Linked DNA regions of Danio rerio. The protein of the gene in region 1 interacts with the protein of each later gene in a biochemical or structural test. Links are inferred from orthologs where the notes say so. Each region holds a gene or a part of one and is shown in the gene's direction. Other genes may lie near its edges.

Region 1 (10,899 bases):
AACTCAGCATTGAACAGAAGAAGAAACAAGAGGTGTGACACGGTAAAGTCTAGATCAGATACGCGGTCGGCCGAAAGTGCGATATGCACATCAGTATAGCAGCACTATTTTTATGATACTGTATAACAATAATTAATATTTTTACAGTACTGTGACGGTTGGGTTTAGGGTTGTTGTGGGTAATTAAATAGATAGCGATAAAAATACTCGGTACAACTACCGTTTTTAATTGGGTTTAGGGTTGGGGTAGACAATATCAAATACAACAATTGGGAAATTAAAAAATAATATATATAATTCTCATTGACTTTCGGCCACAACCACATTCGATATAGCAACAACCGTGTGACACCCTGCTTACGATGGCCGAGAGAGCTTAACGTGCTGCAATTTAAGAAAACACAAGCAATTACAAAAAATGCCTGTAAACTGAGAAAAGATCTTCATCAGTTTGACTGCACACATGCTGCAAATCGCCACAACACAAACACAATTTTTTTAAAAACGAGCTGCATTTTCACACAAATCAAACATGCTACTAAAATGTACTGCATTTTCTCACAACACAACGGAAATGTTTTAAGCCATTTAGGTTACAGTTATTTAGGCTAATACAGTAAATACTAAAGACACAGGAATCGGGATATTAAAATAAACAAAAATAAACTTACCTTTCAAAGATCACTTACAACTGCTATGAGCAATAGTCACGGCACAGCGGCATCCTTCACATCTTTGGGTCCCCTTGAAACATTTCTGTGTTTTTGTAATTGCACGAGTTTTCTTAAATTGCAGCATGTTAAGCTCTTTCGGCCCCCGTAGGGGTGTGCTAACCACTAGGCTATTGATGCCGACAACTAAGAATATGTTAACCGTGAACAAAAGTTATTTTCAACAGAACACCAAAACAAGGGCTGTTTCTCAATTCTTTAATAATAATAGTATAGTAAATGTTGCGCTTCCCACCTCCTTTTTTTCCAGCTGCAATGACTTCTGGGACTTTTAGAGCAAGTTTTCTACTTAGGTCTGCATTGATGTGTCCTCGATATCAAGAATACATCCGGGAATTTTCACATGTCCTCCGTTCTTGCGGGCTTGAGTTTTGGAACTGAACTTTGGCAGTTGATGATGGCGTTACACGAGGACACAAGAACGCTGAAGAATGCATATTGAGAAACAGCCCAGGAGTTACCATAAAAACAGATGCCAAAAGCAGGGTGTCACACCTATTGTTTCTTCTTCTGTTTAACGCTAAGTTACATTTTTAAAGCTCATCACCCACCCCTATTGGTAGTTCTACTTTTTTATAATATTGATCTCAAATTTTTCAGTTTTTTTTTTTTGAATAGGCTTTTGCCGTTATCAGATCTTTCTTCTTGCGATAATCAATATTATCAGGATTTTGACCCATGTTGAAAAAAATAGATTATTTTAGGAGAATTGTAATAACCAAAAAAACTATATGCACATTGCTTTATTGTGAATACATGTTAGGAGTAAACAAATGTTTGAAACAAATTAAATTGCAAAAGAACAAAAAATTACAATAGATATCACTTTACAATAAAGTCTCATTAGTAAACATTAGTACATGCGCTAAAATCAACACTGAAAAATAGCCATATTATAGTTCAAATAAATAACTTTGAATCATTTAATAAAACAATTATATGATTAACCTAGAATTTAACATTACCTAAGATAAATAAATGCTTTTGTATGTGTCATTAAATTGAAGTAAGTTTAATTAACTGATGTTAACAAATGTAACCATACTGTACAGAGTTAACAAACAAAAGGCTGCTCCAGAAAAGGTTGTGATAAGAGCATAAGCTGCTGTGGCAACTTATATACCATAAAAGCTACTATAGTTTTTGGAACCGAATACTGAGATTATTTGCTTACATATCCTTAAACATATCCGGTACATGCCACATAACTTTCTGCTTTTTGGAATAACCTTCACTTGTATTTCTTTTGTTATGATGACAACTTTAACATTACTTCAAAAATCCAAGTAAAAGATGAATCGTGACCAAAATAAAAACATTTATTTTCAAACAATTATTACGTCTGTCTATACATCCATCTATCTGCATTGGTTCATATAAAAAAAGAGAAGGAGGATGTGCATTTGGAGGTTGGTAGAATGCTAGAAAAGAGCGTTCTTCAGCATTCTCTCAGGTTTGAAATATCAGGAGAGGGAGACAAAGTGCGGTGGGCACTGCCATTGATCACATGTCTTTGACCTTCACAGTAGCTTAGTTTGGATATTTCTAAAGTCACCTCTGGTTGTTGGAAAAAAATGACATTTCATTGTGAAATATGCTCCAGCGTGCTCTTTTCACACATGTATACCAAAACTCTCTCAAGTTGTTCACTGCAGTCACTGAATGAAGCAACTAAAGGACTTGAACAAAGGTTCAGATCCCTGCAGCAATGAAAAAAATGCTTATGGTTAAATAGGGCATCAGGATTATGTGTGAATATTTGTGGATCAGATTACATAGGCTGCATTGGGCCAGGTTGGGGAGTTGCTATTATGTTACAATGTGAGCAGCCCACAAATCACTAAGAGCAGTCCTCTGTGGGGACCTTGTGATGTATTTATGATGCTTTTTATTAAAAAAAAAAATCAGATTATTAAAATCTTTAGCTTTGATCAATTTGTTATACTATAATTAAATGTGAGAATAGAAAATATGGAATTACACAAAAAAAGCTTCATGATGGTCACTCTCCTAATCTTGACAACAAAATAAACTTTGTGAGTATGTGTATGAGAATATGCGCATTTTAACAAACATGCAATAGAACTGCCTATAGCCACTTTTAAAGAAGTCAAATATCAACAGTTTCCAGGTACAAACCTCTACTTTTATTTTTAATTTAATTTAAATGAGAGTAAAGGGTTTGCACCAAACACTTAAACAAACTAAGATAAACTTTTTAAAATTTACAACGTTTGTAAATCACTGTCACTCAGACACCAGCAATATATATATATATATATATATATATATATATATATATATATATATATATATATATATATATATATATATATATATATATATATATATATTTGTATTTGAATAATTGTTATAATTTATTCAGAAAGATGAATCATTGTCTGCCAGACTAAGATTTTGCTATGGGTATAAAGGGTAGGGTTATAATTTTTCAGCTGCACTTAAACACACTGTGACTGTATTGGAACAGATTTTGAGATCTGTTAGAGAATTTGGAGAAATGCATTTAGCAAGGTTATAGGCTTTGCAGAAAGAAAAACTAAGCAGTATAACAATTATTTATACTTAAAACGAATTTTTTAGGACGCAAAACATTAAACGATAATTTTGACCAAATAATATTTTTTTGATCAACTGTATACATTAGAGAATAGTATATTTCAAAACATTTTTGTCAACCAACCTGACATTTACAGATAATACAATCATGCTGTAAACCTTCCTGTTCAAATCTAATTCATTATAGGTTATAGGCTCACCTGGATGAATGTTCGTACAGTTTATGGTGTTCATTTGTTTACAAAAATGTCCAGGGATGTAGCGGACATTTTAAAAGTGGGGGGACAGCTGTATGAGATCCAAAACTTTACGTTCATGTAACTATTAATCACCCGTTTCTAAATGATCTGTCTCTAAAAGTGAGGGGGACATATATGATGACAGGTTTCCCATGTTCTAGCCCCAATATATACCAGCATTAAATTGAAATAGACTATTCAACTGCACATAATATAACATATTGTGTATCTTCATAAACGAGAGAGTGTTACATCAGGGATATGATAGTACCCAACACTACTATCAACATACAGTGAATATTTCACAGCCTACATTTGGAATGCACGTCACTCTACTGCCACATACAAACCCCTCATGATGAGTAGGGATGGGTTTCTGTGAACCAAGCGCTGCAATTGGTTTCGGTTATTAACATATATGTTTCTGATTGGACAAAGCGCTCGTCAGTCAGTATGGTGCCGCGCTTACGTAAAATAATGGGCGGGTAAAGGCAGTGGAGGACAGAAAAAAACAAAAACAATCCGCCCGGGCGTCCATCTTGAATACTGTAAGCCAACGGTTACTGACAGCAACGGAGAGGGAAATAGCGATAAATTGAGTTCCGACCGCTCTAAAAAGTCCGCCGTCTGCGAACACCGGGACAGTACATTTTGAAGGATTACCTTTAGTGACCACATCTGTCATATCCGTCTCATTTTTTGCGTCATATTCCCGACGGGGCTGATGAAGTTATTTCGGAGGCTGTACGTGCTAAGCTTTATCCAGCCGTCGACTTGTCTTAGTCCGAACGACTGTTTGGTTTAACTACCTACCTTTGCAGTTGTGGAGAAGCTTTGCGAGGTCGCTAATTGCAGGTTTGAATCATTTACACCCGAAGCGAATGTAGATATAGCGCGTTGGCCATATTTAACGTTAAGTCCTTCACTGTCAACTTGAGCTCGCGCGTGCGCTAAATCGTGCGCGTGACCCCATTTATTTCACTTTATCCATGATCTGTTGTACTACATACATTGTATTTAAACATTACGCGAATTAAGCGTGATGTGAAAACATCGTCTGGCGATGTTAATTTCATTTTTATTCCCGTAGACGTGCATGGATTTAGTGTACTGCCTGTGAGTTGTCGGGTGGGAGTGAACTGGAGGCATTGCTCTTCTTGAGATATTACGTTAGTTCATTTGCATTAATAATCAGCAGTATCTTTATATATGTTGATGGCGGGTTCTATGCAAAGCTTTTCCAGTTGGTCTGATTACTGGCAATGGGAGCTGGCCCATTTACTGAACGGCTTTATTGAACGGACTCGTTTATTCTGAGCGCGCGACAGTGCAACATTGTGTAGATACAGTATTATTCGTACGCGTTGGAATTTCCTCGTTATTGGCATGGCTTTTAATGCAAATTGCATGGACAGTCATTGTTGACTTTGTTTCTGAAAGCTCGAAATTTTTGAATCTCAAGTGGACACTTTGATGCCGCTTTTCACTCGCTGAATCCGAGGACTATAAACTGGCACTGGATTTGTGCACTGCCGTATATCTGTCACTGACTCGGTGACATGGATGTGTTTCACTGACTGCTTATCAGTAGTTTGAGGGGAAACTTGAATGCAAAGACTCTTGGATTTTGTAGGACAAGACAGAAGAGTGAAAAAATGGGACCTGCAACAAAGCTGGCATTCGGAGTGTTCCTCATCTCCTGCTCCTCAGGTGGGTAGTAATCTGTTTGACCCCTTTAAATGCAATACGCGCACGCACAGTGTGCATTTGTGTCATGACATATCTCTTTTTGTGTGTATGCATGTGCCACCGGAGGCTCTTTCTCGTGTTACTCCGCATTGAGATCGAATTCATTGGTTTCTCGTAAAATAGCTACACAACACCATATGAATATGATCTGAGCATGCACAACACAGAAGCAGCGATTTCTGCCAGGATTGAGCAGCTTATTTCTCTCAATAGCTGGTTTGACAAGTATCCAACATGAAGACCTGCTCAGTGGAGTTGAGAAAACACTCTGGTGATGTGATCTGAACGTTCTGTTAATATTGACCAGTGTCATTGTGCTGGCTGCTGTTGCTGTTCATGCATGCATGCATGTTTTATATGTTGCATGTAAACCCCCTCTACTGGCAGATCTTTTTTTTTTTTTGTTTTTTAATTATTCATGAAAAGGAAGGTTACATTTATGTATATGAGTGGTTTAGGAAGGGGAAAAATCATTTGATGAGGCCGATGGCTAGGCCAAAGGTCTTATTTGCATGTGAGAACATTAGATAAGATAGGACAGATTACCTTGCATATTTGATCTACACCTTAATGATTATTTTTATTCAGTAGAATATTTAAGCAACAGCAAGTCAAAACAGTGGATGTTCCTCAACACACTCTGTGATCAAAGTTAGGATTTTACTTTTATTGCAAAATGTACAATAGGCACAGTTTGTGCCTGTACTCTGTGTTCCCACTACATCCCTCATCCTGCATCGCACTTGCCCACACAGCTCTGCACTCTTTTGGCTACACAGACAATTAATCAATAAAATGTTATATTTGAGCACATCGCTTCGGTATTTATATCAGTCTAAAGGCAGAAGTATTCAGGAGCTTCTGGGTAACATAAGAAACCATATCTTTTGGGTCACATTGCATATGCTCTCTCTGAGGAATCAGTGTAAACTGATGGGATGTGCACGTATAAACCATTATAGACCTCTGCTTGTAGTGATATGAGGAACCTTTCACCTGATTATGATTCCACCTGTGTTTATGGATGTTTAGAGCCGCTAGTAACCGATTTGTGCTGTATGTTTTGTTGTGTTCCAGAACTGAACGCCTATTAGAGTCACTTCAGTTTACTTCGTCTTTATGCTTGCATCTGTTCGGAAACCAGATATAATTGAACAGTTTGACTTTATTTGTTACATGTGATGTAAGCATTTGCAGAAGTTTTGCCCAGGCATGAGTTTATGACTGCTGAGAGAATTAAGTCTGAGCACTTGCCCAGTCGAATGTAAATTATGCCTTAAACGTCATGGCTCCTAAAATAAATCACAAGTGGCAGCATCTAACCAAAGCGCACATAGAAACTGTAAGCTTAAAGAGGAGTTTAAATGTATTCAATGGCAACTTTTCAGTGTAGCAAAAAGACAGAAACATAATGTTAATGGGCATTTTGTGTGTAGATATATTGTACTTGAGTTCATTTAGAAGCTGCAGTGCTGTTATCTGTTCTTGCTGTCGAATAGATTTTATGTTCGTTTGACGATAACATCAAAGATTTATTTTTTATTATTTTTATTTTTTAGTTTCCAGTCTAATCCTTTTACGAGCGATCAGATTGAATCATGTTCTCTTTGATTTCCCTTGAAATCATAGAATTACAGTTCAAAACCTTCCGCTTGTATCTGATACTGGTGCATCACAAATTCTCACTCGAGTTTTGCCATGGGACAAGCTACTTTTTGTAGATGGCAGCAGCAGAAGCTAGTAAACACCCAATATACCCAGCTAATATCTTTAGTACAACTTATAATGATGGTGATAGGATGCATAAGAAACACTGTATTATAATAACAATTATTATTAAATTATTGTTATTATTATTATTAACATTAGGCTATATTAAATATACATTGCTTACAGACATACATTTACAATGCATTGTGATGCTAGTGGTTACAATGGCCTTTCATCTCGTTTTACGCTTGAACGCTAAATGAATGCTTAAGTCTATTTAACTGAATGTATTGTAATTACATCACAACATCAATGCTGTAAAAACAACCTTGTGGAATTCAAAATAGTCACATTAATCTTTCACCAGAAGTTTTAAAACTATAGCTTTGCATAGAGCCCATAGTTTTTGTTCAATAGTATAGTAATGCATTGGAATAAAAAATTGTGTTAGATGCATTGTGGTGCAATATGTTTTCATGAAGCAACTGAAAAGTCACTTTATTATCACTAATACTACTCCTATTATTGTTTCTAGTTGTTAATAATAACGATAATATGTTGTGCTTTGAGCTCGCTTTGCCTCATGATCTTCTGTATGAAGGCAACTTTCACACATCACTTTCAAATTTAGTTCCTCGGTTTTCTTTTTTTTCTTGCAAATATTTACCGACTATTAAAAGTACATGTGGTGGTCAGCTGTTTTTCACGAGAGCTTTGATGGCGTTGAGTAGCTTGCAAAATTCACTTTGCGTGCCTCTTGGATTTGCGTCTTGGTTTGCATTAAAATGACGCATTTACGCAGAGTGGGTTGTGTCCTTTTGATTGTGTTCATGCTTTTGACTACATCATGACCGGTGTGTAGAATGGAAGTAATGGTGCTTCCTCTTCCAGTGTCTTATTCGTTGAAATCTATTGGCACAGCTGTTGTGGGTAGGAGAGCCTACATTTATTTCCCTTGTATAACACCCGGGCAGCTTAGCTGGGGTCATTGTGCAGCAGCACGACTTCTGAAACAAATTGCCAAAACAAAGATCCTACTGTGCTGTGGATAATATACATTTGCTGTAGAAATCCTCTTTTGTGCAGTCACAACAGGGTTGCTGATGGGCAGATCGATAAATGTGCATTTGAATTCTACAGTAGCTGGTTTTAGTCTTGAGACTACATGATGAAAACTATTTTTTACTTTTGTACTTATGTAAACTAGTTCAGGGCAAGTTGATGGTCACAAACTATTGCTTAACGCTCAATTTTTATCTCATTTATTTTTGACCTGTCTAGTATACTGTGCTAATTTAATCTTTTTATAAGGCGATTTTGATTAAACACAGAATCATTTCACCTCATAGCCCATTTGAAGCACTAAGTCTATTTGTTCTGGGTTTAATAGTTAACTAGGGGTCAGTTCACTATTTATTTGCAAACTGTAACTGATTAGATCTAGGCGTTGTGTATGCTTCAGTGCCTTTATTGTTAATGATCAAGAAATTCAGTGGAACATTGCACGGAATTGAAGCCTGGGATAAGATTGTAACTCTGTTATTATTATTATCATCTTAAATGATTATGCTAACTGTTCTTCTGACACGCATGGATTAGCAAATGGCTTTTTTTAAAGCTACTTAACAAATAGTGCATTTTCATATAAATCTATTTAATGCACTCTGTGCTTCTGACAGCATTGCACAAGTGTGAGATGGAAAAGTGTTGGTTAGTAAATTAAACAATTACTTGCCAGATTGTGAGACTGGTCAATAATAAAGACTAATTATATACTTTCAGAAGGAAGCGTTGTGTTCTTTTACACATGAGCAGATTATGATCCGCTGATTCCAGCCGCTCATATCAGCTTGATGCACAGTAAACACGTTTTGATGTGAGTTTGGGTGCCATACCACACATCAGAGCGTCAACGGCAGGGCAGCATGTGTGAATGTCGATCTCGACGGCTATCTGAACGTGCAGCGTTGTTGGCAAGGAGGCCGGAGTGAATTCTCATGCTCTGATGTGAATTCAGTTATACCATGTAAATATCTATGTAGTGTCAGCATTATTCTAAATGTATAATTCTATTTGTTTAGCTGTTTATAATTAAAGGAAAAGCGGATTTTCCTCTGTGCCAAGAAACCAAGCTAATATTTTGTTGCTTGTTCAAACTATTTATTTAAAATGAGCTGAAACAACACAATTCCTGAGATTTTTTTGTTTTGGGACAACTTAATTTTTTACGTTCATTCATTTATTCATTCATTTTCTTTTCGGCTTAGTCCCGTTATTAATCTGGGGTCGCCACAGCGGAATGAACCACCAACTTATCCAGCATATGTTTTACGCAGCGGATGCTCTTTCTGCTGCAACTCATTTCTGGGAAACATCCATACACACTCATACACTACGGACAATTTAGTCTACCCAATTCACCTGTACCTCATATCTTTAGACTGTGTGGGGAAACCGGAGCACCCAGAGGAAACCCATGCGAACACAGGGAGAACATGCAAACTCCACACAGAAACGCCAACTGACCCAGCCAAGGCTGAACCAGTGACCTTGCTGTGAGGCGACAGCACTACCTACTATGCCTCTTGTGTCGCCCTTTTTATGTTCAATCTACTTAAATTAGTTAAAGGTTCTGTGAAGTGCTTTAAAATGTACCTTTATTATTCAGTGTTTGACGAATTTTAACTGAACAATATAGAGAGGGTGGGACATAGAGTAGCTTCTCCCCGTTTAAAAAAAAAAAAAAACAGCCAATCGCATTTCTTTTTATCTCATCTACGCCAGTGAGAGTGGTTGATCTCAAGCGCATCAAATGAAAAGTTTTTAAAAGGGGCTGAACATGTCAGATGCTAGAGATTGTTTGATCGTTTGATTTGATGATTTGATTTGATCAACGTTTGAGAAAATGTCGTATGATGTAAAAATAATTGTTGATCGATTTAGGCGGAAATGACAAACTGCAAGCTTTACATGTTTATATTTGTTTAATATCTTTTAAAAATGAATTTTGTCACTTTTTTGGAGCACACTAGCTATATTCTTAGAACGAACAGACTGAAACTAATTTCACAAGACCTTATTAAGTTAACTTAATTGATTTTTGAATGAACTGTGTAACCCTGTATTTTTTACAGTGATGTTTAGTACTACTGAAATTGTATTGCTATGCAAAAACAAAACTGAAATTTACAATGTTGTTATAATTACTGTTAATATTATTTATCAAAATATATTTATTTTGTAGCTAAATAGGTTTGTGTTGTTCCTAGCTGATCAAATGCCTGGTTTACTGGGGCACACTTTACAAGCTTGAATTCTTGTTGCATTAGAAAGAGAACATGCAAAAAAAAAGTAGGTGCCTTACTGTACTTGACCTTAGTCTTCCTTAGTTGTTTATCTCAGTAAAGTATCTTTACCCAGATGTAATCAGTGTTCTCGGCTGCACCATGTTTCTTTAATGCCAATTGGATGGATGTTTTCGGCCTGATATCAAATGTCTGTATGAACCTATGTGCTGTGCAGTTTGTCGCATTGTTATAAAACTATACTCATTCACCCTATTTAGTCAAGTCACAGCAGTAATATTCAAGCAGAAGGTTAGACAGGCTAGAAAAGAACAATTGACTTTTCATACACTGATAGAGAGGTTTGAAAATGGAAAGTCCTTCTATTAAAATGATTCTGTATTGATCTGTGGGATGTTGATGCAGAACACATCCTATTTTTTTTATATTTATCTGCATATTTATTTTGCCTGAAGGGCTAATGTGTGATTGATAGCTTGACCTTGTGTTGCTTCGCAGTGTATTTTGATCCTCACCAACTGGACTTCCATGACATAGGCAGGTTGCAGCCACTGTTGCCCAAGATGCAGATGCCTCTGTGAATAA
Region 2 (10,279 bases), on another chromosome or scaffold:
TCCAATCTGAATTATAATTATGACAAGTCAAAATATAATTAGAGATATCTCTAAATATATTTATGGATAGTCTGAACAAGGTTTAAATGCTAAAACGGCTTGCCATACGCATAGTGGCACAGTGGAGATTTCTCTAGTTATATCGTTTCAGTCGTTTGTTATGCAGTGACATGCAGTCAAATATTTCGCCAAACAGTCCTTAGGGATGCGGTGACACGCTGTCAGATATTTTACCAAACAGATCCGCCACTTTTGGCGCGCATAAACAATCATAAAGCCCTCGTGCTGCAGGAATGAGGAGGTTTGCTGAAGCCGCGCAGCTGACGTGCAGTGAGGGTTTGCGTCTTTAATAAACTACGGCAGTTTGCGATCACTGAACAGTAAGAATGATTAATAAATCCATTTGAAACAGTCCCTTAAAAGTCACGTCTCGCTTTCAGTTTCGGGCTTTGGCGCGTTTTGCACTGAGCGTCTCTCTCTCTCTCTCTCTCTCTCTCTCTCTCTCTCTCTCTCTCTCTCACTCACTCACTCACTCACTCACTCACGCGGGCATGCACTGTGGTCTCAGGAGGAAACGCTGCTTTTTGATATAGTGTTTTTCTTGCTCCCGAATACAAATAATTTTTCAAGTATTTGTTCGAATCAAGTATTCGTAAAAACACGCTATTCGTGCCTTTCCGAATAACGTATTCGGGTTCGGCTCCACCCTTAATATATATATATATATATATATATATATATATATATATATATATATATATATATATATATATATATATATATATAAATATATTTCCTAATATGTTTAACAGAGCAAGGAAATTTTCACAGTATGTCTAATAACATTTTTTCTTCTGGAGAAAGTCTCATTTGTTTTATTTAGGCTAGAATAAAAGCAAAATTAGTATTTTTAAAAAACATTTTAAGGGCAAAATTATTATCCCCTTTAAGCTTTACATTTTTTCAATAGTTATTTTAATATAGTCAGTCGTGAACTGAAGTGGGCCGGTCTAAGGCTTGAAACTCCAGGGCTGAAAAGTAGTCCCTCTCCGGCTTTGCTCCTGGGATGCTCTCCAGAAATGTATGTAATCAGAATGAGCCAGGGTTGAGTTTTTCGCATTATAATGCAGACAAACGCTTTTTCCTATAGATCTGTTTGATTCTTTCACCAGTATAATCTCAGATGATTAAGATGCTGATTTAGTGTTCACATGCTAATAATGATAGAGTGGAAATAACTTGGATGTTGATAAAATGTTGTTGTGTTTTTAAACTGAGGAGAAAGTCCAATTAACCAATTTAAATGTGCCTTATCTTGAAAAAAGGTGGATTCTTTTACCCGTTTGATTATACCAACATGATGGTCACGTCATGTATGAAGGATCTCATTTTAACAAGAAATAGATGTTGTTTAACAAGAAAATTGTCATTTTAATGAGACAATTAAGTTGGATTAACAAGAAAAATATGTCGTTTTAATGAGATAATTGTATCGTTTACCTAAACAACATCTCGTTATAAGCAGAAAAGATGCAGCTTTTTGTTTTTATGATTAAAGATGTAATTTTAATGAGAAAAGATCTCATTATTATGACATAATTGAGGGATATAAATAATATGTGTGTGGCAGCAGTGAATCACCATACTACAATGCCCAATTCCTTATCAGAAGAAATAATCAAAAGACATGAGCATGTTGTGTGGCGGGAGAACCTGTCTAAAGCTCACTTTAATGATGATATAAAGTTTTGTTTGATTGAGCCTGGTGGAGAACATTATGTTCATCGTCAAAATGTGGAAAGAGTGAATCCAAAGTGTGTACAGATGTCTATAAAGGTGGAGGTAAAGTGCCCACCTTTTGCCTCCACACTTCATACTTCTTTTAAGGGATGCACCGACACTATTTTTTTGCAATCGATCTTGATATCAAAATATCAAAACCGAATCAGATCCGATCCCGATACTGTGCCTTTTTTTATTATTTATAATTTTTTTATGAACATAATTCACTGTAAGAAAAAAAATCGTAAAAAAAGGTCAAATGACTGACAGCTACGGGTGCCAAACAAAAACCATAAAATTACGGTAAAATGTCTTTGTTGAAATAAAGTGCAAAAAATAATAAATTTACAGATATTTTCATTTAAATGTTTACAGAAAAACACTATAATATTACAGACTTTTCCTAGATTATTACGATCAAATCCATTCAATAATGTTACACACTAAGTGCGCTCACATGCACCTGTTCCGGATTCCGCTGATTGCACACACACAGTCGGAGGATCATTATGAACTGATTACATGCACTTTAAAAGCAGCATAGACCAATTGCTTAGTCTTGTTATACTAAATGGCTTCAAAACATTTGGGATATGGTAGGCCTACATGACAATTTTCTAGTGCTTTATAATAGGCTACCTTCATAGCTTTTGTTGGCTTATAAATTACACAGAACATAGCGCACGTGCAAGATCGGTTTTGGATCGGTACCAGCTGGCCGATACCCGATCCAGCAAAAATATGCAGTATCTAACCGATAGCCGATACAAGTATCAGGATCAGTGCATTCTTTTTGACTGCTGTGACCATCACAAATTTTGTTTGTATAAACTAAATCATCAGCCCCTTTCACACATACAGACTTTTCCGGAAAATAACCGGCAATTTTTCGGAAAGGGATCATATGTGAGCAGGCCCTTTTGAAAAATACCAGTAAATTTGATCACTGTCATTGTATATAAAAATAGTAGGTTATAATAGGTTGTAAACAGTTGAAGTCAGAATTATTAGGCCCCCCTGAATATTTTTCCCCAATTTTGAAAAGATATTTTAATACATTTCTAAACATAAAAGTTGTACTATTACCTGATTTATTTTGTCTTTGCCATAATGACAGCACATAATATTTTTCTAGATATTTTTCAAGATATTTGTATTGAGTTTAAAGTGACATTTAAAAGCGTAACTAGGTTAATTAGGCAGGATAGGGTAATTAGGCAAGTCATCGTATAATGATTGTGTTGTTTGTTCTGTACAAATATATATAAAAAAAAAACATCTGTATTTTTAAGTAAGTGTGCTCTTTTATTTTGCTTTTATTCTTGCCATAATAAAAATAATATTTTTAGAGCAACCCATGTTCTATTTTCATTAACATTTTAATAAACCTGGTGAGTATAAAAGCCTCATCTGTTTCATGAGGGTGAGCGCGCAGTCATTGAAGGTGCGCAATGCGGCGCCAGGCAAAAGTATAAATCTAGCTTTATGCAATATTTTACTGTTTTTAAAGTAGCATTGTGAAAATTACTGTATATTTTACAGTAAAGATATACAGTGCTGTAAATTCAAGCAGTAAGGTAATTGGTGCTGTGAATGTAAATACAGTATTTTTGCTGTAATTGATTTACAGTAAGTTACTGGTGAACTGAACTGTAATATAAACTGAACCTTACTGTAGGACAGTTATGCAGTTTGTTACTATAATTTAAAGTTGCATTGTGAAAATTACTGTATATTTTACAGTAAAGATATACAATGCTGTAAACATATACACAGTAAGGTAATTGGTGCTGTGAATGTAAACAGTATTTTTGCTGTAATTGATTAACAGTAAATTACTGGTAAACTGAACTGTAATATAAACTGAACCTTACTGTAGGACATTTTTGCAGTTTGTTACTGTAATATAAAGTTGCATTGTGAAAATTACTGCAAATTTTACGGTAAAAATATGCAATGCTGTAAATACATACACAGCACAGTAAATTATGCTGTAAATGTAAATACAGTATTTTGATTTACAGGAAGTTACTGGTGAACTGAAATGTAATATAAACTGAACCTTACTGTAGGACAGTTATGCAGTTTGTTACTGTAATTTAAAGTTGCATTGTGAAAATTACTGTATATTTTACAGTAAAGATATACAATGCTGTAAACATATACACAGTAAGGTAATTGGTGCTGTGAATGTAAACAGTATTTTTGCTGTAATTGATTAACAGTAAATTACTGGTAAACTGAACTGTAATATAAACTGAACCTTACTGTAGGACATTTTTGCAGTTTGTTACTGTAATATAAAGTTGCATTGTGAAAATTACTGCAAATTTTACGGTAAAAATATGCAATGCTGTAAATACATACACAGCACAGTAAATTATGCTGTAAATGTAAATACAGTATTTTGATTTACAGGAAGTTACTGGTGAACTGAAATGTAATATAAACTGAACCTTACTGTAGGACAGTTATGCAGTTTGTTACTGTAATTTAAAGTTGCATTGTGAAAATTACTGTATATTTTACAATAAAGATATACAATGCTGTAAATATATACACAGTAAGGTAATTGGTGCTGTGAATGTAAATACAGTATTTTTGCTGTAATTGATTTACAGTAAATTACTGGTGAACTGAACTGTAAAATAAACTGAACCTTACTGTAGGACATTTATGCAGTTTGTTACTGTAATTTAAAGTTGCATTGTGAAAATTACTGTAAATTTTACAGTAAAAATATGCAATGCTGTAAATACATACACAGCACAGTAAATGATGCTGTAAATGTAAATACAGTATTTTGATTTACAGTAAGTTACTGGTGAACTGAACTGTAATATAAACTGAACCTTACTGTAGGACATTTATGCAGTTTGTTACTGTAATTTAAAGTTGCATTGTGAAAATTACTGTATATTTTATGGTAAAGATATACAGTGCTGTAAATACATACACAGTAAGGTAATTGGTGCTGTGAATGTAAATACAGTATTTTTGCTGTAATTGATTAACAGTAAATTACTGGTGAACTGAACTGTAATATAAACTGAACCTTACTGTAGGACATTTATGCAGTTTGTTACTGTAATTTAAAGTTACATTGTGAAAATTACTGTAAATTTTACAGTAAAAACTATGCAATGCTGCAAATACATACATAGCACAGTAAATGATGCTGTAAATGTAAATACAGTATTTCGATTTACAGTAAGTCAGTGGTGAACTGAACTGTAATATAAACTGAACCTTACAGTAAGTCACTGTAGATTCTACAGAAAATTGTTAACAGTGTGTATATTCACACACTTTAATCATGCAGTTTAAATATTTGCTTACAATTTAGGACACATACTGTAAGAAAAAGTGCATTGTACACTTTGTGACTTTGTCCTATTTTCTTTTTTTGTCATCTCAGGTTCACTTCATCAACCCTGAAACAGTTCCAAAACCATGTTGCGCTCCTACCCAACTCCACGCCATCTCCGTCCTGTATTTTGACGACAGCTCCAACGTCATCCTGAAGAAATACCGCAACATGGTGGTCAGAGCGTGTGGATGCCACTAGAGTCCTGTCACACATATGCATAGACAATCATTACATCCATATAGACAATGCAAACACACACAAACACGCATGACTGATCCTCATTTATAAAAATGGCGCCCTCCCAAGATCCCACCAAAACGATATGAAGATCTCAGGCCAAACCAAGACCGTATACCAAGGACAAAATGAAGACTTTCGATTGGCCAGGATTGCAAAAGGAAGTTACAGATAACCTCTCTTTTTTACACACACACACACACACACACACACACACACACACACACACACACACACACACACACACACACACACACACACACACACGCACACACACACACACACACACACGCACACACACACACACACACACACAGACACGCACCAACACATGTATGCACACATTTACATACTTCTATATACTTGTGCTTTCTACTGTGTAAATAGTTTTTCAATGACAAAGTATTTATTTTCCAACACGAACTCTAAAACATGCTTGTCTTTTTGTGTTTTTTTTAAATGCGTGTCATCATTGACTCATTTACCATTGATGAAGAAATGTATATATATATATACACTACCTGGCAAAAGTCTTGTCGCCTATGCAAGTTTTAGGAACAACAAAAAGTAACTTGACTTCTAGTTGATCATTTGGTATCAGAAGTGGCTTATTTGAAAGGCCTCTAGATTACGCCTATTTTACCAAAATAAAACATGATCATACCTTGATTTTCAATTATTTCAAGACTTAATAGAAATAATGCACAGGTTAGAATATAAAATCATGCTGCAGTGGAAAAAGAATTCATATTTTGTATGACTACTATGAGCTTGAAGGACTGCATCCATACATCTCTGCAATGACTCAATGTATTAATAAGGTCATCTAAAATGGCAAAGAAGCGTTCTTGCAGGACTCCCAGAGTTCATCAAGATTCTTTGGATTCATCTTCAATGCCTCCTCCTTCATCTTACCCCAGCCATGCTCAATAAGGTTCATGCCTGGTGACTGGGCTGGCCAATCCTGGAGCACCTTGACCAGGCACGTGCACACATAGGGCTCAACCTGTGCAGTGCACATGCCCTTTTTAGTCTTGGATAGAAAGTGCCCTTCCAAAATGATCAAAAGTGCCCCCGCGACACCCCCCTCCCCCGCTTTACAGTACGCGCGCGACAACACCGCTGATCAGAACGCGCGACAACACCGCTCTTCAGTACGCACGCGACAACAACAACAACCGCGCGGCAACAACCCCCCCCCACCCCACTCTTCAAAAAATGTATCCTGCACATGCCCTTTGGACAGTCTCAGAACGGGCCTGACCTTGACCTTCTTTAATTGATGTAGAGGCTGAAGTATGAAAAGGAGCGCTAACATCTCCTGTGGGTTTGTAATGTAATGGGCAGCACAGATCTCTCGCACAGCCCCATACTGAATGTAACCCCAAACCATGATTTCTCCTTTACCAAACTTGACTAATTTCAGTAAGAATCAATGTGGGTTCCAGTAGGTCTTCTGCAGTATTTGTGATGATTGGGATGCAGTTCAAGAGATGATACATCAGAAAAATCAACCTTCTGACAAAAAAAAAAAAAAAAATCAATAAATATCATTTTAGGAATAAGTATTACAGTCTCAAAATGACTTTTGCTGTTTATTCGAAAGTACTTATTTAAAATAAGCTGAAACAACACATTTATTTAGTTTTGGGCGGACAACTTAATTGTTTTATGTTCAATCAACTTAAATTTGCAAATAAAAACTAATAACTTATTCCAATGGAAGCTAATTTCACATAATCTACTTCAACACAATACTACAACACAATCCTTGAGATTTAAATGGGACAACTTCATTGTTTTATGCTAAATCTGTTTATATTTATTAAGTTAATTTGATTTATGTTGGGACAACATTAATTATCTGTGTGGATGGCAATTTTACAGTGAAATAGGAAATCAAGTTATAAACAAATGCAAAAATGTACATTTAAATATGAAAATTTTTGGTGGGTTCAAAATTAACTACAGTTGGAGAATTATTAGCCCCCCTGAATTATTAGACCCTTGTTTTTTCCCCCTAATTTCTGTTTAACAGAAAGAAGATTTTTTTCAACACATTTCTAAACACAATAGCTTTAATAACTTATCTCTAATAACTGATTTATTTTATCTTTGCCATGATGACAGTAAATAATATTTGACTAGAAAATTTTCAGGAAACTTCTATACAGCTTAAAGTGACATTTAAAGGCTTAACTAGCTTAATTAGGTTAACTAAGTAGGTTGGGGTAATTAGGCAAGTTATTGTATAATTAGATTAAACTTTATTGTCATTACACATGTACAAGTGCGATGCAACAAAATGCAGTTAAGGTCTAACCAGCAGTGCAATAACAGCAAGTGTAGGATACAGGTATAAGTTATTAAGTGCAGTTATAGAAAACCTACAGTCATATTTACAGATGGATGTACTATGAACATTATGTACAGGTTGGATTAGCTATGAACAGAGTTTTACAATAGATGCATATACAGTATGTACAGATTGCTATTAATAATCAGAAGTGTGCAGATAGATAAACATAATTACAAATGTATATGTGCAGTGGGTGTGTTCATAATTACTAATGTCCATGTGCAGTGTGTATGTACAGTTCAAATAAGTGAATCAGTGCAATTTTTAAGTGTGCAAATGTTAAATAGTGCAGTAAATGTGAGGAGTATAAGTTAGAGGAGAGTGGGGGGTGTCTTAGAGGGGCAAAAGAGTCAGTGGGGGGCAGAGTTCAGGAGGGAGACAGCTCAGGGAAAAAAGCTGCTCCTCAGTCTGCTGGTTTTTGTCCAGGGGAGCCTGAAGCGCCTGCCAGAAGGCAGCAGCAAAAACTGTCTGTGAGCAGGGTGAGAGGGATCCTTCAGAATACTGCGTGCTCGGCGCAGACAGTGTTTCTTCTGGATGTCCTCTATGGCTGGCAGTGTTGTCCCTGTGATGCGTTGGGCAGTTTTCACCACCCGCTGCAGTGCCTCTCGCTCAGCAACAGAGCAGCTTCCACACCAGACTGTGACCCAGTTTGTCAGGATGCTCTTTATTGTGCAGCGGTAGACGTTCACCAAGACAGCTGATGAAAGCTGGTTCTTCTTAAGTTGCCTTAAGAAAAATAGGTGCTGGTGAGCCTTTTTGATCAGGTGGTCCAGGAAAGGTCCCTAATGATGGTTTGTTCTGTAGACTTCTGAAAAAATATAGCTTGAAGGGGCTAATAATGTTGACCTTAAAATAGTTTTTAAAAAAATTAAAACTGCTTTTATTCTAGCCAAAATAAAACAAAGATTTTCTCCAGAAGAAAAAAATATTATAAGACATACTGTGAAAACTTTTTATGCTCTGTTAAACATCATTTTGGAAATATTTAAAAATGTTAAAAAAAAACTTAAATGTGGGCTAATAATTCTGACTTCAACTGTAAGCAACAACTCAATTGTTTAACTTTAAACTCAAAGTACTTGTTTAAAACAAAAGCATGAGTTTGTTTGGATCTCCAGCATTACCTAATATCTGTCATTTGACTTGCTTGTGTTGTGTTGAATGTCCAGCACATTGCCTTCTGCTGTTTTTCCACAGAGGGGCATTTATTAGGAGCATGTGAGGTGAGGATATCATTCCCGGCACTGATAGTGTTTTACTGCAGGCTCGGCCCAATAAATAAGTTTGAATAAACACAGGCTGTTCTTTGAGTACAGCGAGCACCTCGTAGCCCAGCCGTGATCCTGAGACCTTCGGCCCCCATGTGCGTGAGTGTGTGTTACTTAGGACATGACCACACGACATCTCTCAGTTTACTCGCATCTTTTATGTTCGTTCAACAAATCATCCTATTCATACACACAAAAATGACTTTTGCTGCTTGCTCAATCTACTTAATTAAAACAAGTTGAAACAACACAATTCTGAAGGTTTTATCTTATACTAAATTTCTAAAAACAAATTTAACTTAATTGATTTGTGTTGGGACAACATGAAGGAATTGTGTGGAACCCAGTATTTTTACAGTGCATGCAATATAATCATCTAGAGTTCATTACTGGTGCCCACATTTTCAACTGTGCTGTATCAATTAATATTTTATCGAATAAATTATTCTTACAAGTGTATTGGAGGCCAGCTAGTAGGTGCTGTGCAGGTAAACCTCACTCCTCTGACCTCTAAAGGTGCTCTAGCGACAGACATTAGGGGCCATGGTCTTCAGCCTCATTGTTAGAACAACTGATTCCCATGCGGAAGGTCGTTGGTTCGATACCAGCTCGGAGTGGATTGGGTGGCGTAGGACCGGCGGGGTTACATTGGTGCCGTGACCCGGATGGGAATGAGGTTTGGGGGGGGTGAATGTAATGGAGGCCAGCTAGTAAGTGCTGTGCAGGTAAACCTCACTCCTTTGACCTCTAAAAGGTGCTCTAGCGACAGATGCTAGGGGCCATGGTCTTTAGCCTCCTTGTTAGAGCAACTGACTCCCATGTGAAAGGTTTCCGGTTTGATAAAAGCTCGGAGCGGGTTGGTTGGGTGGCGTAGGACCGGCAAACACACACACACACACACGTTGAAAAACTTTGAAAGCCTATAGTCAATACATAGAGTCAGGTCTAAATAATATTGGGACATCGACACAATTCTAAAATTTTTGGCTCTACAATGGATTTGAAATGAAATGAAGATGTGCTTTATAGAGCTGCACAATAAATAAAATAATATTGCAATCTCGATTAGATTTAACTCGTTTTATTATAAGTAGAATAGAATTATTTATAAAAACCAGTAGACTTACACATATTATTACTGTTGTTTTACCATGTTTGAAAAAAAAAAACTATAAAAATTGCCGACTCATATTAACCTTTATTTTACATCTACAGAATCGTAAAATTTGTGCTCTTTATTTTAAGCAAAAAAAAAATCGCGAT
Region 3 (10,931 bases), on another chromosome or scaffold:
AAGTTCACACAAGATGGAGATTTTCTCACTCTCAAGTGGTTCTAAACATCTGTGCTTTTTCTTGGTTAAACCCAAAAGAGGGGCGACACGGTCACCTCACAGCAAGAAGGTCACTGGTTTCAGACTCAACTTTATTATCCCGTTTAGGGAAACTAAAATTGCAGCAAAGTGCCGTAACACAGGCGGAGTTCCATGTGCACATTAAAAAGTGATTACCCCAAAACATACAATACATCATGTTCAGGGGCGCAACTGCACATTTACTGATGGGTATGCGGCTTCAATCCAACTATATTTTATAACAGGCAAGTGATAAAATGTGGAAAATATTTCCATCAATAAATTAAAGATATTTTTTCTTAAAGATATCAATATGCTTAAAAAAAAAACAGTTTTGCAGTTCTGAACACAACTGAAATAGTATGAAGTAGTAAAAGGTAAATTACATTAAGCATGTTAAGTCGCAAAGAAATGCATCTCATACCACCCCAAATTTCTTCTCCATTTAATTTTCCCACACTAAATGATTATAGCACCTTGACTAGCCTTGCTTTTGGACTTTGTACTACATTTGTCAAAACAAAATGATAGACATGGGAGTCCTAAAGGGCAAAAGAACATTGCAATAACTTCTCACATGCATACTGTGGGAAGTGTAAGGTCTGTCTCTGCAAGAACAATTGACTGAAACTGCTAAAAGTGAAATAAAAAAAGACTGTCAAATGTTTAGTGTAAAATAAAAACAGAAACAAACTGTGAAATGTTCTATTTAATTGAAATGTTATAACTTTGTTTGTAGCTAAAATTAAAATAGTTTTGAGCTAAGAAGTAACCAAAAGGCCTGATGAATCAATATGATACATAATAAATTCATAAAAACATGTATATGGTATTAAAAATGGGAAGGGGAGGAATGATTTTTTCATTTAATAAAATACTATATTATATGCGTATAAAATGCTAAATAAACATTTTTAACAAAAAAATATATATATTATTTGAAACTTTTAATATGGATAATTTCAAAAATAATTTTGGCACAATGGCGCCCCCCATGTGTGGCGCCCCTATGCGCCGCATAAACTGCATACTCCCTTTTTGCGTCACTGATCATGTTATAGGTGCATCTCCCTCCCCCCCTGGACTCATTTAACAACCTAATGACCACCATTATAAAAAAATCTAACTCTACAGTATTTGTCCTGCAAATAGGAACTCTAAAACGACGTCCTGATAACTCGGCTGAACCACTGAGTGAAACAGGTGATTCGGGGTGCATAGCATACCCTGAGCTCTCTTTAAAACACCAGTTCAGTAAATTACCATAGGACCAGTTTGGTTAAAACCAGTGATCTTGCCTGCCACCTTAACCAGGCTACTCAACCTGTTCTTGTTTGACACACTCGGATTACCGTACCAAGATACAATGCATAAAGATAAAACAGATTCAATTAATTGTTTATAAAACAGCGTCATCATAGAGGTACAAACCTGAAACCATCCAAGTTTCCTCAGATAAAAAATACTGTTTTTGTTGGACTTTTTTTTACAGACAGCCTAGGTGTTAGGTTGAAATGACAACAGGAGTCTTGGGTGGGCCGTTTGGCATTTCTGTGTGGAGTTTGCATGTTCTCCCTGTGTTGTTGTGGGTTTCCTCGTTCAGTTTCTCCCACAGTCCAAACACATGCGCTATAGGTGAATTGGCCAGTGTATGAGTGTGTGTGTGTGTGTGTGTGTGTGTGTGTGTGTGTGTGTGAATAAGTGTATGGGTGTTTCCCAGAACTAGGTTGCAGCTGGAAGGGCATCTGCAGCGTAAAACATATATATGTATATGCTGTAATAGTTGGCGGTTCATTCCGCTGTGGTGACCTCTGATAAATAAGGGACTGAGCCGAAGGAAAATGAATGAATGCATAAACACAAAAGAAGATATTCTGAAGAATGGTGGGTAAAAAAAACAGACATTGACATCACATACTATGGAAGTCGATGGATATTTTTTCGAGCATTCTTCTGACTATCTTCTTTTCTGTTCAACTGACGAAAGAAACTCAAACATGATGCGTAAATGATGGCAGAGTTTTCATTAGTGGGTGAAATATCCCTTTAAAGTCTGCATAATCCGGAAGCTGCAACCTTTTTTTGTATTGTGACGCAGTTCCCGGAGAAACAGAATATTAAATGAGAAATGAGTGGGTGTGGTTTTTTTTTTCTACTGCGATCTGATTGGATGTAGTAAAGTAGGCATGCCATTCAGAAAGATGGGGAGGTGGTTTGGGGAGAGTTAATACAACCTTACTGACTCCTCCTGCTCACCATTTCTGTTTGTTGTCAAAACTGACAGCTGGATGGGCGTGGTTAAGTATGCTTGCCACGCCCACTACCTAAGACAGACCTAATCTGGGAATTTAGCTGAAAACGAACAGGAAGTGCATTTTCAGATTTCACTTGAAGCTTACAAGGGTAAACTATTTTTTCTTAATGATATGAGCTGATGAATTGTTCACCACAAAACTAGCAATGCAAGCTAACGCAATCAATCTGTTTAGTTTTGATTTTTATATACTTCACGGCTTTATCCTCCAACCTTGACTTTCTTTCTCATAATGCAGGTTGTCCATCCATCCAATCATGCGACCATCCAGAGTATAGTGAGAGCGGTTGGGATTGTTCCTGGAGTCCCGGATCCGTGCTGCGTCCCGGATAAGATGAGCTCTCTGGCCGTACTCTTCCTGGACTCCAGCAGGAATATGCTATTGAAGATCTATCCCAGCATGTCTGTGGAAACCTGCGCCTGTCGATAAACGAGAAACACTAATGGAAATACGGATAAATAATCTGCAAAACAGTAAACTCTGCTACAGGGACTGCCGTCATATGACAAAAACAAACTCTTATGTCTGCAAATAAGACCTCAACACCTCAGATAATACAGGATCTTTGCACACAAACTTTGTATTTTCTGTCCGCTCTTTCATTTTGAATGAACTGTATATAATCCTTATTGTGACATACTGTAGTTTGCTTAAGGTAAGACTCATTTTGCAACGAATACATGGTGAATTTAAGGACAAAGAGATTTAAATGCATTTCTGTAAATAAATCTGGTAATATTCTGCATTATGTCTCATTCGTGAACATTGGTTGATGTGTTTGTTCACTTGAAAGAATTGTGATTAAACATTTTGTTCAACGTGATTTGATTTTATATTTAAGGGGACCCATAATGACAAGATGTAAAATAAGACACCAGCAAATCAAAATAAAATATTAGTATATGTTTATGGAATGCAGTTGATATTATAAAAAAAATAAACTTCTACTAAAGGAACAGTTCACAAAAAAGTTTCAAAAAAAAGTTCTAAAGTCAGAATTCAGAGTTATAAAGTCGGAATTGTGAATTTTTAGGTCAGAATTCCGAGTTTTTAAGTCAGAATTGCGAATTATAAAAGTCAAAATTGCGAGTTACAAAGTCGGAATTGCAAGTTCTAAAGTCAGAATTCCAAGTTATAAAGTCAGAGTTCTGTTATACAGTCTGAATTGCGAGTTCTAAAGTCAGAATTGCGAGGTTTTTAGGTCAGAATTCCAAGTTGTTAAGCCAGAATTGCGAGTTATAAAGTCAAAATTGCGAGTTACAAAGTCAGAAGTGCAAGTTATAAAGTCAGAATTCAGAGTTATAAAGTCAGATTTCCGAGTTATAATGTCAGAATTCCGAATTAAGTCAAAATTGCAAGTTATAAAGTCAGAATTGCACGTTAAGTCAGAATTCCGAGTTAAGTCAAAACTCAGAGTTAAGTCAGAATTACAAGTTACTAAGTCAGAATTCGTGTTAAGTTGAAATTGCGTGCTATAAAGTCAAAATTGCAAGTTATAAAGTCAGAATTGTGAGTTATTAAATCAGAATTCCAAGTTATAAAGTCAAAATTGCAAGTTATTAAGTCAGAATTCCGAGTTAAGTCAGAATTTCGAGTTAAGTCAGAATTGCAAGTTATTAATTCAGAATTGTGAGTTAAAGTCAGAATAGCAAGTAATTAAATCAGAATTGCGAAGTATAAATGAGTTTCCTGACTGCCGACTGGCCATAGATAGAGTGTTAAAGAACTCGGAAATTCTGACTTTATAATTTATATATATATATATATATATATATATATATATATATATATATATATATATATATATATATATATATATATATATATATATATATATATAAAAAATAATTTTTTTTTTTAATTTTAGCATTCAGTGTACTTCCAGAAATTATCCTCTTTTTTACAAGATCTAAAATAACTCTCAGATGTCTCTAGAGTGTGTGTGTAAGAAGTTTCAGCTCAAAATACCAAACAGATAATGTTTTCTAACTCTTTGAAACGGACCCTTTTTAGGCTTTGATACTAATATTGGCGTTTTGATGGCTGTCGCTTTAAATTCAAATGAGATTGTGCTGTTTTTAAAAAAGGGCGGAGCTACAGATGCCTATGTGTCAGCGTAGTGGCAGGTTCAGAAACAAGACTAACGTACTTTGCTAATAAGGGAGACACAGTCACTACTGACCCAGCCGAGACTCGAACCAGTGACCTTCTTGCTGTAAGGCGACAGTGCTGACCACTAAGCCACCTTGAACCATGGTTATTATATAAATATTTATTAAAATTCTAATAGTTTGGATTTGCCCATTTATTAAAATATATATGTTTTATTGCGAATAAAGACTTGATGAATTGTATTGGAAACAGGGAAGAGGGCGACGGTCAACTTTTAGACCCATTAACCCTTTCCACAACCTGAAAATGAAACCAAATGCAAACTAAAGAGAGCGCTGGAATCTTTAATGTTAATATTTATCATTTCCGAGGCTGATAAGTTGAGACATCCTACACATAAACACAAACAAATTCAAAGTGATGGAGTTGCCTTTATAAAAACAGAGCCTGACCGTGTAAATAAGCCTGTCAAAATCTCACTCATTAGTCGTTCTGGTAGTGTTTACAGAACGCTCATTAACTACGCGCTTCCTCCAGATAACCAAGTCCAAACCACAACATTGGTGTCAAAGATAATAGCTATGCTACTATTTTGGTTTCCAGAGCTTAGCGTGGGGCATGGGAGTAAACCTGAGGTTCACTTAAGGAACCCCGATTTCAAAGCATCATCCACAAACCAAAGTCAGATGTAAAACTTGTTGCTCAAAGTCACTTATCGCTGCAGGAACTAAAAGAAGATGTGGCGCGTAGGACATTTGCTCCTTCTGATGTCCATTGTTTTTAGGATTACCGAAGAGAAATCTTTAGGTGACGCTGGCAGCTTGGAAGATTCAATGTTCATTCAAGAGCAGAAGCTGGTTGAAGACGATGACTTGAACAAGGTGGAGAGTTTCTTAGGCTTTATGAAGGAAGATTTTTTGAGGAAGCTGAACTTATCAGGCGTGCCGCAGGAACACAGAAAGGTTCAGCCTCCTCAGTTCATGATCGAACTCTATAATAGATACGCTTCTGACAAGAACTCCATCCCTCGGTCGGATGTCATCCGAAGCTTTGTCGTTCAGGGTGAGTACACATAAAGAGAGCTCACAATCTCTGAGGCGGATCTGTTCAATATTACACACATTAAAAGAGCTTCTTTGATTGATTGTACCATCAGAGGAAACTTTTCATTAGGTGATATATACTGGAACCAGCAGCGGTGGACAATAACAAGAGTTTTAACTGGATTGCTCACACAAAAATGTTCATTTTACTATCATTTGCTTATTCTTTACGTCAGGGGTCACCAATCTCATTTCTGGAGGTCCGTTGGCCTGCAGGGTTTAGCTCCAACTTGCCTCAACACACCTGCCTGGGTGTTTTAAGTATACCTAGTAAAGCTGCGGTCACACTAGAGTTTGATAATAAAATTCTGTGGTACGACGCTGCGAAAAGGGGCGGGAATAAACAAGATTATCTGTTCAGAGAGGTCATGTTTTGATCCTCAATTGGTCTCACGCAGTCAAGTGATGCGATTTCGCAGGTCAGAGTTCACCAAGCTTGAACTTTGCACCGTAGGAACCTGCGAAACTTGACGCATGACCTTGCGTTTCCGGTCTGACCAACACAATCTCACGGCAATTCGTAACTTTTTCATTTAGTGGCTAATTCGTATGAATTTGTACGATCTAATTCGTACAATTTAGTACGATTTGCTTATCCCCCAATGACGGTTGGGGTTAGGGGTGGGGTTAGGTGCCACGCCTCCTTTTTAAAATCGTATCATTTCGTACGACTGAAATCGTACAAATTCGTACGAATTAGCCACTAAACTGCCAAAACGTTAAATACTTACGTTTTCTCGTGAGATCACGCTGGTCTGACACATTCGCGCGAGTATGAATGGAAGTCTACGGGAGGAAAAGCAGCTTCAGACCTTGATTATCTTGTTCAGGTGTGTTTGATTAGGGTTGGAGCTAAAATCTGCAGGACACCGGCCCTCCAGGAACAAGTTTGGTAATCCCTGCTCTGCGTGCTCCAAAACTATATGAGCTTCTGTTGAATACAAAACTGTGAAGAATGTTGGGGAAAAGGCAGCCATTGACATCCATATAAAAATACTATGAAAGTCAGTTTTCCCCCCCGCAGAATTCTTCAATATATTTATGAAAATGAAGAAAAATTCATGAAAGTTTACAACCAATTTGGTGTGAGGAAACAGTGAATATCCCTTTTTAATACATTATCGAATATCTTTCACAAAAGTTGTTTTGTAAACTTATTTTAAAGCATAATTGTGCTTTTTTTATATTAAAAATATATTTTTTTATTATTTATAACTAAAGAAATTCTCCTGCCGTAATTTAAAGTCATAACAGTGGTGTCTTTTTTCATGAATGAGCTGACTTTTGTCAACACATAATAATCCTTTTTTTTTTTTTTAAATGAACTGCTGATTTTCGTCTCCTTCAGCAATTTTCTGAGAGTCAGTTGTCGATCTTTAGTGCGTTTATTCATCTGCCGTCCCTATGTGGGCGGAGTAATACACAAGAGGCTGTATGAGTGCTGTTATTTTGGAATATCGCATGACTATCAGCCAATCAGATTCGAGAACCAGATAGAAATATTGTAAAAATTACAATAATTATTAAACGCATTTTAATTTTTTGTTTCTTCTTGTAAATTTTAAACTATTACTGGCTATCAAAATGACCAGAAATCCAGTGAATTTAAGGGGACTTTTTTTTTTAAAGTGTAATATTGAACATTGGCGGCATGGTGGCTCAGTGGTTAGCACTGTCGCCTCACAGCAACAAAGCCACTGGTTCGAATTACGGCTGGGTCAGTTTGGCATTACTGTGTGGAGTTTGAATGTTCTCCCCGTGTTGTTGTGGGTTTCCTCCGGGTGCTCCGGTTTCCCCCACAGTCCAAACACATGCGCTATAGGGCAATTGGATAAACTAAATTGGCTGTAGGGTGTGAGTGCATGTGTGTTTCCCAGTACTGGGTTGCGGCTGTGTAAAACATATGGCGGAACAGTTGGCGGTTGAGTAATATTTTTTTGGCCTCTCTTATCCTTTTCACAAGATCTTTAACACATCAAATTAATGGTAAAATTCACTGAGCTCCCTTTTGTCTACTCTACAGATGTTATTTATTCCATCAGACAAGGCAACAAAACCCAACACCGGCTGCTATTCAACGTTTCCATCCCAAATCACGAAGAGATTACCTCAGTCCAGCTACGTCTGTTCACTCTCTGGCACAGACATAAACCCGCCTGCGACGATCTCTTCACATCCATAAACGTCTATGATGTAGAATACGAGCAGAATGCTAAAATATTACACCTTCTGGATGGCAGAGACGTGAGAGAGTCCATAAACACGTGGGAGGCTTTTGATGTGACCGGAGCCGTCAGGATTTGGCATGAATCTAGACGTGGGGCTGGGGAAATTCAGGTTGAAGTCCAACATAGCTGTGACTCCTTCGATATAAGTCTGAGTCTAGAGGACAACAGCTCTGCGGTCGTCATTGTTTTTTCTGATGATCTCGGAAACCGGAAGGAAGAGTCGATGAGGAAGGTTAAAGAGATGCTTGTGCGTGAACAACAGCAAGTGGGAAATCAAGCTCCAGTGAGCAACCGACACCGCAGGAGAAAGAGGAAAGCAAAGAACAATTATTGTCGGAGAACTTCCCTCAAGGTCAATTTCAAAGACATCGGATGGGACAAATGGATCGTTGCGCCGCCGGAATACGACGCTTATGAGTGCAAAGGTGTGTGTTATTTCCCTCTAACTGATGACGTTAGCCCATCCAGACATGCAGTCATCCAGACACTGGTTAACCTCAGCAATCCAAAGAAAGCAAACATGGCATGTTGCGTCCCGACCAAGCTGGACCCAATCGCCGTCATGTACCAGGAAAAAGGCGTCATCACCGTCCGACATCTCTACGAGGAGATGAAAGTTGCAAAGTGTGGCTGTAGGTAGTGTTTGGATGCATCTGTATACATGTATATAACATATATATATATTATGTATATCGTTATAAATATATTTTTATTCCTATTGAAATACCTCTTAAAGGGATAGTTCACCCCAAAAATTAAAAGTCTGTTTAATTTGTTCCAAACCTGGGGTGCGTTTCCCAAACATCGATGTAACTCGTGGCTAAACTATCATAGTACGATGCATCATTTGGGAAAAGAACCAGCCTAGGCTGGTTGGCTGGTTTTAGCTGGTCGACCAGGCTGGTTTTAGAGGGGTTTTGGCCACTTCCAGGCTGGTTTCCAGCCATTTCCAGCCTGGTCTTAGCTGGTCAGGCTTGGAGATGACCAGCTAAAACCAGCTTGACCAGCCAAGCCAAGCTGGGAGTCCAGCCAAAACCAGCTATATCCAGCTTAAACCAGGCTGGTCAAGCTGGTTTTAGCTGGATTTGGCCGGTCATTTTCCAGCCTGACCACCAGCCTGGTCGACCAGCTAAAACCAGCCAACCAGCCTAGGCTGGTTTAAGCTGGATTTTTCAGCAGGGATGCATAATTTGGGAAAAGAACGATGTTTGTTTCCCAAAACTCGTAGTTTCTCTTTTGCAGATCTATCGTTTGAACATACAGTAACATTATTTATCAACATGTGGCTCTTTTTGGATTCTTGGACTCTATAGACATGAAAAATGCAAACAGGAAATACGTTGAGACCATTGTTTTTGTTTACATTTCTCAAAATGTTCTATATTCCTACCCTAAACTGTTTAAATAACCATAAGCAGATATTTTTAATTTAATGAAGCAATTGTCATGGTTATTGGTTTATTAATAGCTTGAGAATTGTAGCTTAAAGTGTAACCAACATTATTTTAATGAAACAACGATTGTAGAGGTTAATGTCAACATCCTTAATGTGATCAAAATGCTATTTTCACTTCAACATGTTGACTACATGAGAATATACTGCAGGGGCATTTCAAGGATTCAGCATCTGGGACACAGATCAAAACATCAGGCCTGATATTTCTCCTTAGAGATCTTTTTGTTTAACATTTTGATACAGAAACATACTTACACATGTATGCAAAAACAGATGTGGATGCTTGGCCAATGCATACTGTACATACTAGTCAAAAACCTCAAGGGGGCGATAGAGTAACAGTACTGTTCAGGTAGAAGGGAATATCTACGGTACAAATTAGTAGCTCTCCTGAAACGGTTTTTCAGATGTTTTCCAAGCGCTGTCTAAGAGAGCAAGGAAATTATTAATGCTAGCATCTTGCAAAATAACTAGTAAAGACGAAAGAAATTAATTAATGGAAATTAGTTATTAAAATTATTATGTTTAAAAATGTATAGCCAAAATCTTCTCTCTGTTAAACAGCACAGAAAAAAATATATAAATAAATAAATAATATTATAATATATAATAAACACACACACACACACACACATGTACTGTATATATATATTTAACTGTATATGAGATTCAACGTGTTTAGCAAAAAAGTCTATTTAACTGTGCATCTATAAGACAATTTCTTTTTTTAAATGTGTTTTTATTAAAGTTTTTATAAACATAGTATACGAATAACACTTACTTATAATGTTTACAATCACAGAAAAGAAACAAATAGATGTAAAATAATTGATATAAATTATAATAATATATAAATAATAGTGACAGCTTTAAAACAAAAAAAATAATAATTTAATTAATTAATTAAAAGAGGGGGGGGAGAATAAATAAATAAATAAATAAATAAATAAATAAATAAATAAACTCCAATATAAAGGCAATAACTGTGACAAAGACAAAGCCCCTGAAACCCTTTCAAAGATCAAGCATGTATGTTTCGATTAATGCCCAGGTCTGTTGGAAGAAGTCTAAAAGTCTAACTGCAAATCTGCAGTCATTTTCTCATATATATATATATATATATATATATATATATATATATATATATATATATATATATATATATATATATATACACACACACACACACACACACACACACACATATACATATATATACACACACGTTTCAACCTCTGTGTCTATTCTGTCAAAGTAGGTTGGCAGGTCTTCATCCAGTTCACTGTAATTCTTTTCCTACCTGTTATTATGAATATATTTAGTGTAAATAGGTGAGACTTACTGAATTGATCAAATATGTTATTGATGATGTGAATTGACAAAATACTGGGTGCATTGGTATGTCATATCCTAAAACTTTTCTAATCTCCCTGTTAACCTCCTGCCAGTACACTTGTATATTAGGACATTCCCAAAATATGTGAACACAGTCCCCCACTTCTCCACAATCTCTCCAGCATTGTGATAATTGTAAAGAACTATTGAATTTGGCGGCCACTAACGGAACTCTGAAAAACCTCATCTTCCAGTCCAACTCCCTCCATATTCCCTGCTTATACCCTTATAACAATTTGTGCATATTTGTTCCCACATTTCA

The links.
Region 2: the proteins of acvr2aa (region 1) and bmp7b are reported together in a solved structure, tested with the Homo sapiens proteins (2 studies listed by BioGRID, with this or other methods). The link is inferred for Danio rerio from reciprocal best matches to the Homo sapiens genes ACVR2A and BMP7.
Region 3: the proteins of acvr2aa (region 1) and gdf2 form a complex in vitro, tested with the Homo sapiens proteins (2 studies listed by BioGRID). The link is inferred for Danio rerio from reciprocal best matches to the Homo sapiens genes ACVR2A and GDF2.

The regions. Positions count from the first base shown.
Region 1 is NC_133184.1:27,062,463-27,073,361, reverse strand, and holds the start of acvr2aa (activin receptor type-2A precursor), read left to right. Parts: upstream 1-4,208; 5' UTR 4,209-5,205; coding exon 5,206-5,260; intron 5,261-5,687; exon of another isoform or gene 5,688-9,078; intron 9,079-9,137; exon of another isoform or gene 9,138-10,899. UniProt on the Homo sapiens protein: On ligand binding, forms a receptor complex consisting of two type II and two type I transmembrane serine/threonine kinases.
Region 2 is NC_133198.1:6,460,442-6,470,720, reverse strand, and holds the end of bmp7b (bone morphogenetic protein 7b precursor), read left to right. Parts: intron 1-5,200; coding exon 5,201-5,350; 3' UTR 5,351-5,650; exon of another isoform or gene 5,651-5,706; 3' UTR 5,707-5,822; downstream 5,823-10,279. UniProt on the Homo sapiens protein: Growth factor of the TGF-beta superfamily that plays important role in various biological processes, including embryogenesis, hematopoiesis, neurogenesis and skeletal morphogenesis.
Region 3 is NC_133187.1:3,039,369-3,050,299, forward strand, and holds gdf2 (growth/differentiation factor 2 preproprotein), read left to right. Parts: upstream 1-5,224; coding exon 5,225-5,549; intron 5,550-7,613; coding exon 7,614-8,458; downstream 8,459-10,931. Other genes in the region: gdf10b (growth/differentiation factor 10), read left to right, coding at 2,613-2,804. UniProt on the Homo sapiens protein: Potent circulating inhibitor of angiogenesis. Signals through the type I activin receptor ACVRL1 but not other Alks. Signaling through SMAD1 in endothelial cells requires TGF-beta coreceptor endoglin/ENG.